Astyanax mexicanus: one gene and its partner. The protein of the gene in region 2 purifies or fractionates together with the protein of the main gene of each other region. This does not show direct contact. Links are inferred from orthologs where the notes say so. Each region holds a gene or a part of one and is shown on either strand. Other genes may lie near its edges.

The links.
Region 1: the proteins of pidd1 (region 2) and cradd purify together in Homo sapiens (affinity purification with western blotting; 8 studies listed by BioGRID and IntAct, with this or other methods). This does not show direct contact. The link is inferred for Astyanax mexicanus from reciprocal best matches to the Homo sapiens genes PIDD1 and CRADD.

Annotation. Positions count from the first base shown.
Region 1 is NC_064409.1:36,379,760-36,386,953, reverse strand, and holds the start of cradd (death domain-containing protein CRADD), read right to left. Parts: upstream 3,080-7,194; 5' UTR 2,638-3,079; coding exon 2,319-2,637; intron 1-2,318. UniProt on the Homo sapiens protein: Adapter protein that associates with PIDD1 and the caspase CASP2 to form the PIDDosome, a complex that activates CASP2 and triggers apoptosis.
Region 2 is NC_064409.1:47,560,638-47,567,565, forward strand, and holds the start of pidd1 (p53-induced death domain-containing protein 1), read right to left. Parts: upstream 3,009-6,928; 5' UTR 2,816-3,008; intron 369-2,815; 5' UTR 157-368; coding exon 1-156. UniProt on the Homo sapiens protein: Component of the DNA damage/stress response pathway that functions downstream of p53/TP53 and can either promote cell survival or apoptosis.

The sequences.
Region 1 (7,194 bases), about 11 Mb from region 2:
GCATGAGTACACTCAATTGACTCAATAAAGAAAAAAAAATAACACTGCCCGAATTGCTGCAAAACTCAGCATGCATGTCTCAGGCAGAAGTGTAAAGGACTGAAGGTGTGATCTGAACAGACACAAGTTCTTGGCAAAGGTGTTAAAATAATTTTCCTGCTCTCTGTGAAAAGAGTCTACTTTTGAGTAGTGTACCTCTTGGTGAGAGACTAACAGACATGGTTCTATAACACAATCAAGGACATTTTGCCCAGCCGACAAACTTTAGGATGTCCTTAGGCCAGTCGTTATAACAGGAGTGTTGTGATCAAGAAACCTGCCTTGCAATGAGAGCTTCAATCCTGCTTTTGCTGTAGAGCGAAACACTGCCCCAACTGCTGGTGTGATTATCAGAAGCCAGCACATACTACAAGTTTGTCACTTCAAGAGGTGATACGAGTTACAATAACATGTTAGTGATATGTCAGTACATCCTCCTGCAACCACACATTGTCTTTCATGGCAGAATGGCAGAATAGCATGTCATTTTTCAGCAGGACAGTGCTCACTCACACACAGCAAGGATTGAACCACTTCACTCCAACACACTGCCTAATTTATCAATCAAGCATTTACAGGACCAGCTGGGCAGTCAGCTTTGGCAACCTATAAAGTGTACAGGATCTACAGGCCCAGCTGAGCAACTGTGCCGCAGGATGCCATACAGACCCTGTTTGCCTCTATGCCCAAGTGTATCTCATCTTGTATCCATGCTAGAGGCAACCTATCGGGGTAGAAGAGCCTCCTTTCCAACTAGATTATGGCGGTTTCACGGTATTTCACAAATTTGTTAATAATTTTTTTATTTTGCATGACTGGGCTTTAATATTGGTGTGTGACTTGCTGTGCTGTTAGGAGTACATATAATATAAAACACTAAGGCTTTAAATAAAGGCTTTGATTGAAGTATTTAAAGAGACATTTTTCAAATGTTCTATAGAACAAGTTAGACAGAGGTTTAATATCAATTTACAATTTGTTATTATTGAAGCCATTAGAGGCATTACAGTATTAAAATAAGCCACAGATTATTTCCTTCTTTCTCCAGTTAACAAATGCATTCAATTTAATGTGCATTAATATTATCCTTCAAGCTACAGTATTAATGTATTTAAACAGGGCTATAGTTACTGCTCTTGAAATGTTTTTGCACCTCGTATCCAGTGTTTAAGGAGTTTTATCACTTGTGCTAAATAAACAAAATAAATAAGCTGTGAATGGTTTGTGTAATTCCATTCTTCTCTTTCTGAGTGAATAATTGCTGTTTACTGTTGCTTTTCTATTTAACTCACATAAAAACACTCACATTGCAACAGGAGCTCTTTAGATAAAGAGCTGTTCTCATTTTTTTTCCCGTGTAGGACAGAGCATTTGACTCCACAGAACTGAGCTACAGTTATTCCCATGTGTTAGTTTGTTATGCTGTATGTGCTTCTTTAGCAGTGCTGTTCCACACAGCACTCCGCAGCTCCTCTACAAGTAGGTGAAAATGCATACTGGTTTTAATTTTCCCCTCCGGTATACCGAATAAAACGGTATACCTCCCAGCACTGTTGTGTTTGTGATAGAAATCGTTGTAAAAGAACAGGGCAGCTCATTCACCTATGGCATTACTACGTAACTGACTTTTGCAGTACAACAACAAAAATGAAATCATCTGAGGTTTGGACACCCTTTTAAAAACCTCTGTTACAACTCCCTGGGCCAATCTTAACTCCTGAAACAATTCTATTTTAACAGTTTGCAACAAATTGTAGTGAACTGCAAGCTAGCCAGCTTTACAGACCTTACAGCTGATTTTGCTGACTGAAATACAGAATTTTGTTTTTTAATAAACCTCAATAGTAAGGCTAAACTATAGCCTTTATTAACTAAATTTACTACTGCATGGCACTATTAGTTATTTTAGATAGCTAGCTACAAAGTTATATTAGCACTGTCACTCCTAAGGTGTGAGGACACTTCAGAAGAAGGAAAGAACTGTCTATAGAGTCTAGAGCTGTGGGAAACCTGAGCCCACCACCTTATCACTCACTGACTGTAACTCCAGACTAGTGTTGTTTTTTCATTGGAAGGGGAAAACGAGCAACCTGAACTTCTGGGTCAGCGAGTTCAGTTCATCTCCTCCATGTTTTCCAGAGCTGTTGAATAAAACTAGTTACCTCCACACTCTCCGGTTAGCGAGTTAACGTACACCTCGCCCTGTGCCTGTGTGTACAGCAGCCACTACACCTCAGAAACACAGAGAGAGAGAGAAAGAGAGATAGAGAGAGACAGACCTGTGGAGGGGGACAGGGTCGCGCTGTCCTGTTCTCCTCCTCCTGATTGCTGCAGCAGCAGCTCGTCTCTGATCCAGGGGAAGTCGCGCTGCAGGGCTGTGAGGAAGCCGCTGAAGGCGCGGGGACCCCGGCTGGGCAGGACACTGAGCAGCCTGAGGGTCTTCAGCTTGTTGGAGGGCTGTGACTGGATCTCCTCCACCTGGCTCTCTGTTAAAATGTCCTCCTGGTACAGGAACTGAATGACCGTGTCGTCCACGATCAGCTGCTCGCAGAGCGGCAGTGTGTTCGCGCGGAGTATCTCTCTGTGTTTCGGGTCCATGGCTGCACTGATATCGTTAGTTTCGGGCTGGTGGAGTTCAGGGCTGCTGTTAGCACCTCTGCTAATCCGGCTAACGCAGGCTGGAGCTCAGCAGCGGGGCACAAACACGGCCACCCTTCGCCACAGGTCCAACAGAAATACTCACCCAAAACCCGACCTGCCGGACTCATAACCCCACATTTAAACCTGTACTCTGTGTTTTATAGGTCTGTTATTGTTATTATCGGGGCTCCGTACTCCACCGTTTCCTCTTGTTGCATCATTTGGCACCGACTAGAAACGAAACCCGGGAACTGAAGTTTAGTTCACACATCTGTCTACACTGTTTTTAATTTTTTTAACTTAATTTTTTTAACATTTGTTTAACTTTTTTTTATATCATAATAACTGCTCCTCACACTCAGCCATTACTGTGTCTTCTGTTATTTATCTAGACGTGTTTGTTAAAGCGAAAATTAAACAAATGTTGAAGAGGTTCTGGTGGACATGCGGCCTGAAAAATAAGAGAAAGGTGTCATTACCAAGAAATACGATTTTAGTCAGAATCTAATATCAACACCTTCCTATAAAAATAAGCGTCTAAACGTTTTTCAGGAAACACGAAAATTATATGACTATTTAAAAAATAGCAGTGGTTTATGAGGAGAGTTTATCATACAGTCAAATAGTAGAACCAACCAGAAACCTTAATGAAAATTGTGCCACAAATTGTAGGGAATTTCTAGCTAGCTTTGTGGCTATTTTGCTAACTAAAACTCATATTTAAAACGTAATAAAATGTAATGATAAGACTAAACAACTATGCAGTATTTATAGCATAACCTTTATTAATGAAAAGTTAAGTTTATTTCATAGTAAAAATTAATTCACTTACCAGAATCGTGGAAATTTTAATTGGAACGCTATTAAAATTGAGTCAAAATAAAAAGTACATTTTGATTAAAAAAAAAGAGTAGTAGTAAAATAAGCCACCGTTAACCTAATGAATGCTGTTTTCTAAAATGTTTCTGTTTACAGTTCACAAGGATTTTGTCCAGAACCAAGGGTAATGTGACTGATAAAGTAAAACATTTTTGGTACCACTTTAAAATAAGGCTCCTTTATAAAGGGTTCATAAATATATTATGAAGGGGTTTATTAATGGCTATAAATAAAGTGGTAAATACTTTAAAACATTAATAAGCACTTACAACACAAATAATAAGAAAAACAGTTTAACATATCTAATAAAAAATAAAATGTAAGTTAAGTAATTTAATATGTTATCATAGTTAAATGAATAAAATTATTAACATAAATGTTAATGCTGACTGATGGAAAAGACAAAGTAAAATAAGGATCTAGCTGTTTACTAACCTAATTAATAACATTAGAAACCCCTCAATAAAGAAGCCTTATTTTAAAGTGGTAATTTTGTATATGAAAACATCTGTATCAGTATTTAGAATATAAATATATGACTTTACATTTATAAATGACATTATTTGAACAAGAGTTTTTTTTATACAACTGTATTAAAGTTTGACAAACAAGGGTTTCTGCTGCCTTAAGATACACATGAAGGTAATACCTTAAATGACTGAAAAGCCTAATTATGTTCTACAGGCAAGAGTTTGGGTAACATTTGGCAATACAATTAAGATTTACCCCCAATAATTGCTGCTTGTAGATGTATGTGTGCATATTCTTTGTTCATTTTTAGCATTACTATTGCTGTTGCTGACACAGTTGTTCCAGGATATGAAGTGAATTTGCATGAAATGAGCGTTGGTATGTCAGCAGCTGTCAGAGACAGCATGTAAATTTTATTTGGCTAATCCTGAAGACGTGTGTTCTGTTCACACAATTAAATCTCCCTATTTTTAGTGCATATCTATCCATCAGTGATTAAATTACCTGCACTGCACATTTCTGTTCCATTCTATCTGTCATGCCATCCCTGCTTATAAATGGTTAAATAGTCTTTAATATTTTTTTTCTGAACCATTGGAAAGGTTATTCTGGATTATATTCAAAAATGTTTGATTATCTGTCTCTGCCTTCAGTTTACAGAAGAATTCCTCTAACCTCACTTTTTTTGTTTTTGTGTACTTTGGTTAATTGAAGTTTTCCCAAAGGCACTCTTACCAAGTATTTATATATTTTTCTCACTGTTACCCTAGAAACTGTTAATATGCATCTGCAATTTCTTCTTTTTTTCTTTCTTTTCTGCTTTATGACGATCTCATTTTTTAAACTAAAATGTCCTTCAGTTAATTTTTGTTCTGTACTAGACAGACATTGTTGACATGAATAATACTAAATTAATAGGCATATCTTAAACAAATGTTTTTTTTCGTATGTCTGTGTAAACATCTAGTGTTGTTTTTGACATGATAAATCACATTACAAAGAACTAAAAGTTTAAATCTTTAGTCTAGCCTGTTTTGCATTTTGGGTTTATTATATAAGGGCATCTGGATCATCTGTCCATTTGCGTCGTATCCTGTTTTTCATTTAGTTCCTATTTGAGGCAAAATTTGCTAAATTAAATGTGTCTGTTAAGATTAAACTGAGTGGTTCTCTTAGACTTAAGTGAATTTTCATATCACATCTGATTATCTTTTTTCTCTTTGCAGTGCAGTTACATCCCCTCTGTGCAGTATCACTTTTAACTCTGGACCCAGATTTCTGTAAAGCTGCTTTGTAACTCTGATGTAATAAAACTCTAAACTTTTTTCCTTTATAGTTTTTGCTTTTAGGTTTAGTCTGTCATTTCCCTGTCAATTCAGAGACGATGACTCCGTTTAGACCTGGACACCTTATGATTAGGATTAGTAGTTGTATTGTGTGCTGATAATATTTTAACCATTTACACTGGGTAGTTACAAGTGTCTATGTTAAGTCCGACTGAAATGTAATTGCTGTGTGCGACAGAATATGCTGATTTGCTTGTAGCATGGAAAATATTACTGGTGTTTCATGTGCTGGGTGATTGGTTTAAGTGATTAAATATGTTTATGTTTTAGATCTTGTGTGTGCTTGGCTTGATCCAAGCAGAATCCCAATATTACTCATGACACACAAAGGAAGCAGGTGTAAAAGGGGTATACTAATACTATAATTATGAGAAAAGCTTTACAGGCAGTTTTTTTTTTTTAAGAATTATAAATATAAAATGTCAAATAAAATCAGCAAAGCTCCATGGTAAAGGACATAAAATCATCCAAACATAATGAAGGATAAAGGATTCTCTGAAAACCCAGAGGGAGGGGTGATAGGGATATTAGATGAGGTTTTGGTGAACTGCTCTACGTTACTTGCACTGAATTCATTTGGGCTGCTTTCCCTAAACCCGACACCTGTATGTCTCTTTAACTTTCAGTGCCATCAATCCGGTGTAATGGAGCACTTGTGAGACTAATTACACCCCATTTGCTTTAATGAGGTTTGGATTTCCTCAAGACCACACGACACTGAAGCACCCCTAAAGCTTTTACCTCTAACAACAAGATCAGCACCATTTTCTGAGTGCTGACAATAGTATTTACTTTCTTGTACTAAACCAGTAGATACACTCTACATACACTCTACATCATATTTTAAAAACCCCTGCAGCTCTGATGTGTTTGCACATAGCACAAAACAGATTAAGCACAGGCATAGACTATTTTGTATTAGGAAAAAAAGGAAAGCAACTACTGCAGCAGCACATACCGGTTTCAAGGCACTAAAGCCGTTCTAGATATACACCAGCCACATTAGAAGCAGTTCCCGGCAGGGCTTAGTCAGGGATCTGGGTTCAACGGACATGGATCCATTTACACTGGAGGATGAGTGGGCCACTATTCTAGCCCATCTCAAAACAAAACCATCATTGAAGGTCTCTCTCCCTCCAACACACACACATGCTCACGAACGTTTAGAGAAAATAAATGCCCTATTGTCTTTCTAGGGAATTTAGAAACCTCATATTTAATAGGGCTCAAGATAAAAAAGAGCCTATGAAACTGAAGCTTTTTTCTTTTATTTGTCACTTCATGAAAAAAAGAAAAACATTTACTTGTAATTCAGCACCATTGTATACAACAGTATCATGTTAGTTTTTTCAAGACCGATATGACCGAGAGGCTCAAAGAGCAGACTGATCAGGTGATGCCAATACGTTCTTCCGCTTAGACCACTTCAAAGAAGCCATGTTGAGGAGAAAAGAAAACAAAGCTCTGGGAGTCCCAGCACGACTGGTAGAAGCTGCCATTACTGCTAATCTAAGCTTTTGGGTTTTCAAGCAATGGTTCCTCAGGTCATGGTTTCGAGAAGTGGTAACTGATCAACATAAAAGGGCAAGTTCTACATGCTGCCATGTGTGGAGTCCAACGCAAATCAACACCACTTATCAGTAAAAAGCTGGTGAAACAAGGGAGTGTTGTACTGGAAATCTCCTTGTCTCTCCAGAAACACAACCATACATACTGACAGGAAAAAGCAGCCAAAAACAAAACAAAGTTATAATCAATTATAATTTAAGATCCGGATCAGTAGCCAATTTTCAGACTCATAAAACAAAAAGGTGTTCAC
Region 2 (6,928 bases):
TTCCACAGTCATCACTCCAACTGTTTCCAAAATCCTTTCAGAATCCCTTCTTCCCTGATCTTCTCCTGTGGACACGTCACGCCCTTTATCCTCTGCATACTGGTCTGTAAAGGCTTCTTCATACGTCTTCTCTCTCTCCATCCTTTCCCTCTCCATCCTTTTCTCTCCTTTCTTTTTTTTCCTTTCAGTTCTTTATCCTTTGCATGAGAAAGGAGAGAGCAGAGAGTAGAAGTGTCACAACATAAATGTGACACCTCATCTCAGCCTCCAGTTCCATAGCTGGCACTCAATCACATCACCAAACCGGTCCACGCTGAGAAGACCATGCCCAGGCAAGCCCATGCATGGAGGGTGAGACGCCACTCATTCTGCAGTAGAGAGGTGCAAATTGAAAAGACTGAGAAGCGTTAAAAACAAAAAAAAGAAAACACTAGTAGCCATGCAACTAATGAAAGAGGCTTCTCAAATGTTTTTTTGTTTCCTTACTGGACCAATTAGAGCTCCCACCCGTTTTAGAAAACTATTTTTTCTCAGTTCTTTTTCCAAGACATTTGCAATGGCCTCAGTACATGACCACACACATACACACACAGTGAACATAGCTATTAAAATCTTCTTAGCGTAAATAGGTTTTACACATATGGTGCACTATACTGAAAGTACCATTCAACACCTTGTACTAAAAGCAAATCTCTTACATAGGATAAGGGTATTTTTCAAATGTGGGCCTTATAAGTTTTAAAGCTGCCTTTGGTGAAGGAGAAAGGAAAGACTTGTGAATAAATCTCAAATCTCAGTTGCTCAACAGTTCACATTTTAAAGGACATTTAAAAAACATTTTTATATTTTCAGTGAAGGACAGTAACACAGTAAGTGCAGTTAATAAAAGAATGAAGTTTAACTTAAGTTGTTTTTGCTTGTATCCATACTTAAATACTGAAGTATGTCAATTTTGAATTACCTTTTATTCTCTCAAATATCAAATCAAAAGACAAATATCTTACTTTTTACCAGGGGTATACGAAACAGACAAAAATGTAATGTTGCAATCTGAATTTCTTAATGTTCATGGAAATTCTAATATTGATTTGAAAAATATGATCCTATATGAATTTCCTAATAATTTAGGTTTGTTTTTCTAAAAAACAAACTGAACTTTCTGAACTTTGTAGCACTCATATTCCCAGACCATAAAGTAGTTTGATGTGCATACTAGGGGTGTGTCATATTGTATTGTACCCAATTATATAGCAAAACATATTGACACGATAGAAAATGTATATTGTGATATCGCAATATTCTTGCGAGTTACTATGTCTAGCATTGTTTTAATATTTCCAGTATTTACTTTAATTGCTTGTTTGCAGTTTATATGCACGCACTAAAAATGCAGCACTTTAGTTTTGCGGTAGGTTTTTGTTGTTACTTTATTTGTGTTAGTCTAGTATTAAACACACTAATTAGGGGTGTGACAATATCTCTTGCCTTGAGATATTCCTTGACAGGTGTTGAATGTGTCTCGCGAGGTTTATGTAACCAAAACAAATATTTATATAGTAAACATTTCAGTCTGGTCTCCTGAGATGAGTCTCTTCACACCTAACTCTAATATTTATACTCTAATATTTATAAATAAAACTTTAATATTTATTTTGTTGATGTAATATATACTTTAAATATATCAATGCGCCAAGAATACTGTTAAAAAAAATAGCCTAAAATATTGTGATAGTACTTTACAGCAATGTCGCCCACTGATGAACTCTCCCTCAGACTAGTGAGGTTACGTGATAACAGTCTGCAGGATGAAGAGCCCCCTCTGCTGGTGTCTGCAGGTAATGAAGTTTGGGTTTTCTGTTATTTACAATGCTACTGCACCCCTTCTAATTTAATCCTGAAAACTCACATTGTGAAAAAAAATAGGATTTATCGTACTTTTTACTCCACATAATGCAAAACCTTAAGGAGTAAAAGTCGTTACTGCTGGCCCAGTATGCATAAACATTTATCATATCAACACAAAAGTAGCACTACACAAGCACATCAATCAATATACAGTGAACACTTTCATACAGTGAAGTAGGGATCCAGTGCAATCACACAATTTAACATCAATACAACAGGGTACAATTTGGGAATGCCCTATGTCTGCAGAAAGTATGAAATAGAACAGCAGTAAATAAAAACTAATTTATGAACCTGTGTTTAAAACAGCTTTTATTAAGTAAAGTAAAGTAAATAAAACATCTGCTTGTCTGCAGGTAATTATATACAACAACGTGGTTCTTTGTCTTCAGTGTTTTGTGTTAATGATAATTTTACTAGACAGCACTGTCAGACTAATGAATGACATTCTGTTAAAAGACTGCTGAACTAAGAATGATACCAGAGATTATTTACCTTAAGACAAGCAGATGTCAAAATGGTAGCTTTATTTCTATTTTAACTCAAACAGCACCTCTGCTCATTTCCCAGGCCTACAGTGACACTGTTAATTATAGACAACTAATCACTGCCTTGTTTTCAAACTAAGCTTACCAGCTAGCTAGATGGAGAGCTGTCATACACTGACAGTAGGCTGTTAATATTAATCACATTTAAGTTAGTTAGTTACAGCAGAGAGTGTAGAAGTTTTTAAACAGCCCAGTCTGCTAACTGGCTAGGTAACTGCAGAACACACACCCACACTGGCCTGTGCTGAACACAGTTAACCCATGCTAGTTTAGATGAGTTAGCTTCCCAGCAGCTTTCAGATAGAAAACTTTCCTGCTAAGCTTTAGCCGGTTAGCTGTGTAAATAACCGGTAAACACTCACCTCTCCGAGATTGTAGGGGTTTTTCTCCGCCTCCAGTAAATATAGCGTTAAATATATCAGCCCAAAGACGCGTTAATCTGCCAAATGAAGCTGAACGTGGTGAAGATAGGCTGTTAAACTAACATTAGTTAAGTTACTTCCTTGTCAAAACAGTGCTCCCCATATTTCACCCGCCACTCAGAATCATAACCACCGCGGAACTTTCAGGACGAGGCGGGACACAGCTCCTTAAAGAGACAGTACACAGTACACAGTACACACACACACACAGGTTGTTTTAATATTGTTTTAAGAACCTTCCATAATGACCACTAAAGCAAATGGTGTAGTAAAACATGATAAAGAGTAACTTAACTTACTAACCTTTGTTGAATAGCACACCTCTATTCTCCTACAGCTTTCTGATATTTCAGTAATTTTGTGCTTTATGCCCAGCACGGCAGTATCGGGGCATATTTTGCCCTGATTAATTGCTCTTTACACCGTTATCCTGTCTAAAAGTAGCTCCACACCTCATTGGTAGTACCCAGAGAGCCCTGACATACAAAATGAGGCATTAATAACATTAAAAGTGTTCAAGAAGCTTATTAAAAACCACTGTTTACAACTCGTAGCGTTAGCTAATCACCGGGCGCCACCGTCACTGTACTGATAATGACCAATTTTACACCGGAGTTCTCCTTTAACTTCAGTAACCAAAAATACTAACCAGCTACTAGTGTGAAACACGTATTTTTCGGACTACAAGGCAAATCTTAAAATCCTTTAATTGTCCCAAAAAATGATGCACCTTATTTATGAATTCTACCAGTCAGAAACAGTAAAGCCACTCAGCACTATAGACAGCAATATAAGGGTGAGTTTTCAGTAAACTTCCTCCATCACTAAGGCTGGGTGCAGCAGCATTAGCCACTAACTGCACCTATTGCTCTTTCGCCATTCAGGCGACTGTAGTGTGCGTTTTTGCGGTGTTAAAAACAAGCTACGTGGGAAAAAACGCTGATAGTGTCCTGGGTTACCAGAACACAGTAACAAATATATTTTATTATTGTACTCAATGAGCTTGAATGTTTACAGACCATGTTAACTTTCATCAGTTTTAACCAAAATGCAGCAGTGAGACACTAACTATAATAACTTAACATTACAAATATATATATATATAAATATATATAAATAATATATATATATATATATATATATATATATATATATATATATATATATATATTTTTTTTTTTTTTATATTCACAAATAATGATCTTTTCTGTTTTTTAAGGCTGCTAAAGTGAGTGTTATACAGGCCTTAGTGTCCAAGATTACTGTAATCAGTGAGGCCTATTTACAATGGTGGCAAGAGGAAATCAGGACATCAAGATATTCTAAAATTAAATATGGATTTTTAATGCTAATTAACTAAAATATTTAATTCTAATTTTAAAATGACAAAAAGTTTGTGTGCATTTTAAAGTTGATTAGTTGATAAAGCTGATTTACATGAAAAAGTAAGCTCCGTGTTCACTAACTTATTGATTTTAACTTGATGTGTACGTTTTATGCTCTCTGCCTGAGTACTATTTACTATTTGCTCCTGGAGTCTTCTCACATTATTTGCACTGATAAAAGCCATCCGGTCCTTGGAATGGTAAGGATGGACAGAGGAACACCAAAGCCAGGGTACTGAAAACAACAATGTCAGGGTGGTGCTCATCCAGTCAGTCCAGGTAGTCTAGCAGCTCCTCCTCTGAAAAATACCCTGAAAAAGACATAGAGAGAAATGACAAAAATGAATAAAAAGTATTAAGATAATAGTGAGAATTGGTTAGAAAATAATAAGAATGAGTGAGAATTGGTGAAATAAATTGAGGATAATCTGCAGGTTGTGTTCAGACTTGAACATCTCAGTCCAGTCTGAGCTTCAATATTCAGATCTAACCCCCAAGTATATGTGTTTTTTTTTTTTTTTCCTTTTATTGGTAAACAACCAGTGACTGTGCGGAAGCAAATTACAGAAAGTCAGATTTTAGGAAGACTTATGCTTACAGCTTGCCTAATATACCTTTGAAATTTTCAGTACATGATATTTTGTGAATATTGGTAAAAAAAAATGTTTTAAAATATTTGTAAATAACAGGATTAACGCAGGTAAACACTTGGTTATATGGCATTAAATTAACAGCTTGGTAAAGTTAATTTATTGTTCGACATTAAGCGGAGATTCGCGTTTCGGACGTTCTCTTGCTCGCATGCAACCTCCTAAACTCTCTCAAATGATATCTTTCAAATGACAGAGGAACAGAGAACAAACTACAAACACTAGATTTTCTCAAAACACCCAACTTTTCCCTTTCTCCGAGGAAATTTGCTGAAAATAGCAGGAATCGCTGCAGCGATCAATCTAAAATCACTTGTAGTCTTTAGAGACACATTTTTATTTATTTTTTACTGTAAAAAATGCTACTGTAACACGCCCACAGGACATATAGATGAAATATCACTTGACTACAGGTGATTTTATATCGATATTTCATATGAACATGTTATGCTACAGGTGCTAACGTGACCTGCAATCAGTGACAATGGAGAAGCAGACTTGTGGTGTCTGATTATGAGTATACCGAATATATGAATACAGAAATAAATTATCCAGGAAATGAATGAATGCAGAAATTATGTAAATAAATAAACATAAACATGAATAAAAAACAATTTATTAAGATATTTATTTTTAGGTATATGTATTTATTTTTATATTATTTACAATTATTCTTTACAGTTTTAATCACCACATTACTTTTATTAAGTGATTTACATACGATTTTATTTATTTATTTATTTTGGCAGATTTGGTCCTCCATAATTTTCTACAAATTGCTCCTTTAAAACACATTTTAAATGACCCTCTTCTCTAGGGACCACTTTGCCTTGGGGACCCAGTTTAAAAAATTGATTATACTGAATAGTGTTTTGATGACATCTAAATGCTAGAGCAGGTAATGCAGCCGAGATTTTTTTATTGTATTTTTTATGTATTTAATTATCTCGAGATTATTATCCTGAGATGCCATATTAAATATCAAATTAAAAGGAATAAATATAAAAAAATAATCAAATAAAAATATTTGCATCAATGGAAAGACCAGAATGTTTTTTAAACAGTGATTCAAATCACCTTTAAAAAAAGATTTGAATATTTTTGATTTTACATTTGCAAAAGAACTGAATTACTTTTTTAAAAGAATCAAATTACTTTTGTCATGTCTGAATTGAAGCTGAGTAATCTGGCCTTTTATTGGAATAAAATGCTAATAACTAATGACAATAGCTAAATACTTATCAGCAGCTAAAGTAATGGACCATGAACACAAGAGTTATTCTGTGCTTTTGGATCATTGTTAAGCCAGTATTAAATTGTTGTTGGTGTTGTTTGTTGAGTGAACAATAATACATCCTGGCTGAGGCTCAGGATGTATCATCTTCCTGTGTTATGTTACTACCATATAATCATATATAATAATGTAAAATAATGATATTACGTAAACTTCTAAACGGCGTCATTTGCCAAGGCAGCCTATTGTAGGTCATTAGTCAAGTCCTATTGTAACTGGGTGCTGTTCAGTGATTCCTCTTATAAGACTAATATGATTAAAAACCCTTTTGAAAAGAAAATCCCTATGATGTAATGTAGTCTCAGATTAGCCTACTTTTGCGCTCAGAAACACACCATTCTCCCAACTCCAGCTTAGAACCATATTTAGAACCTGTCTTAGATCATAAGAGTTATTGGCGATGAATCACCAGTGGCAGTGCCATGTAGTCCAAGAGGAAAAGAGTAATATTAGAAACACAGGATCATTCAGACATTACTGCACATAACTGCTGGTGTTTCGGTTGTTATTATTCCTTGCCTGGACATGTTGTGTTATTGTTTTGTTCCGTTTGCATGCCCCAGCTGCTGTGCTCAGAGATTCGTCCTGCCCCAGAGACTGACAGCATATTTTCCTGATACCGTTACTTTTCTTCTGGGGGAAGAGAAGAAGCAGCAGCGGATGCAGTTATCATCACCTAAGAATCCAAAGAATTTTATTTTCACTGGAGCTGTCTGATGATAGC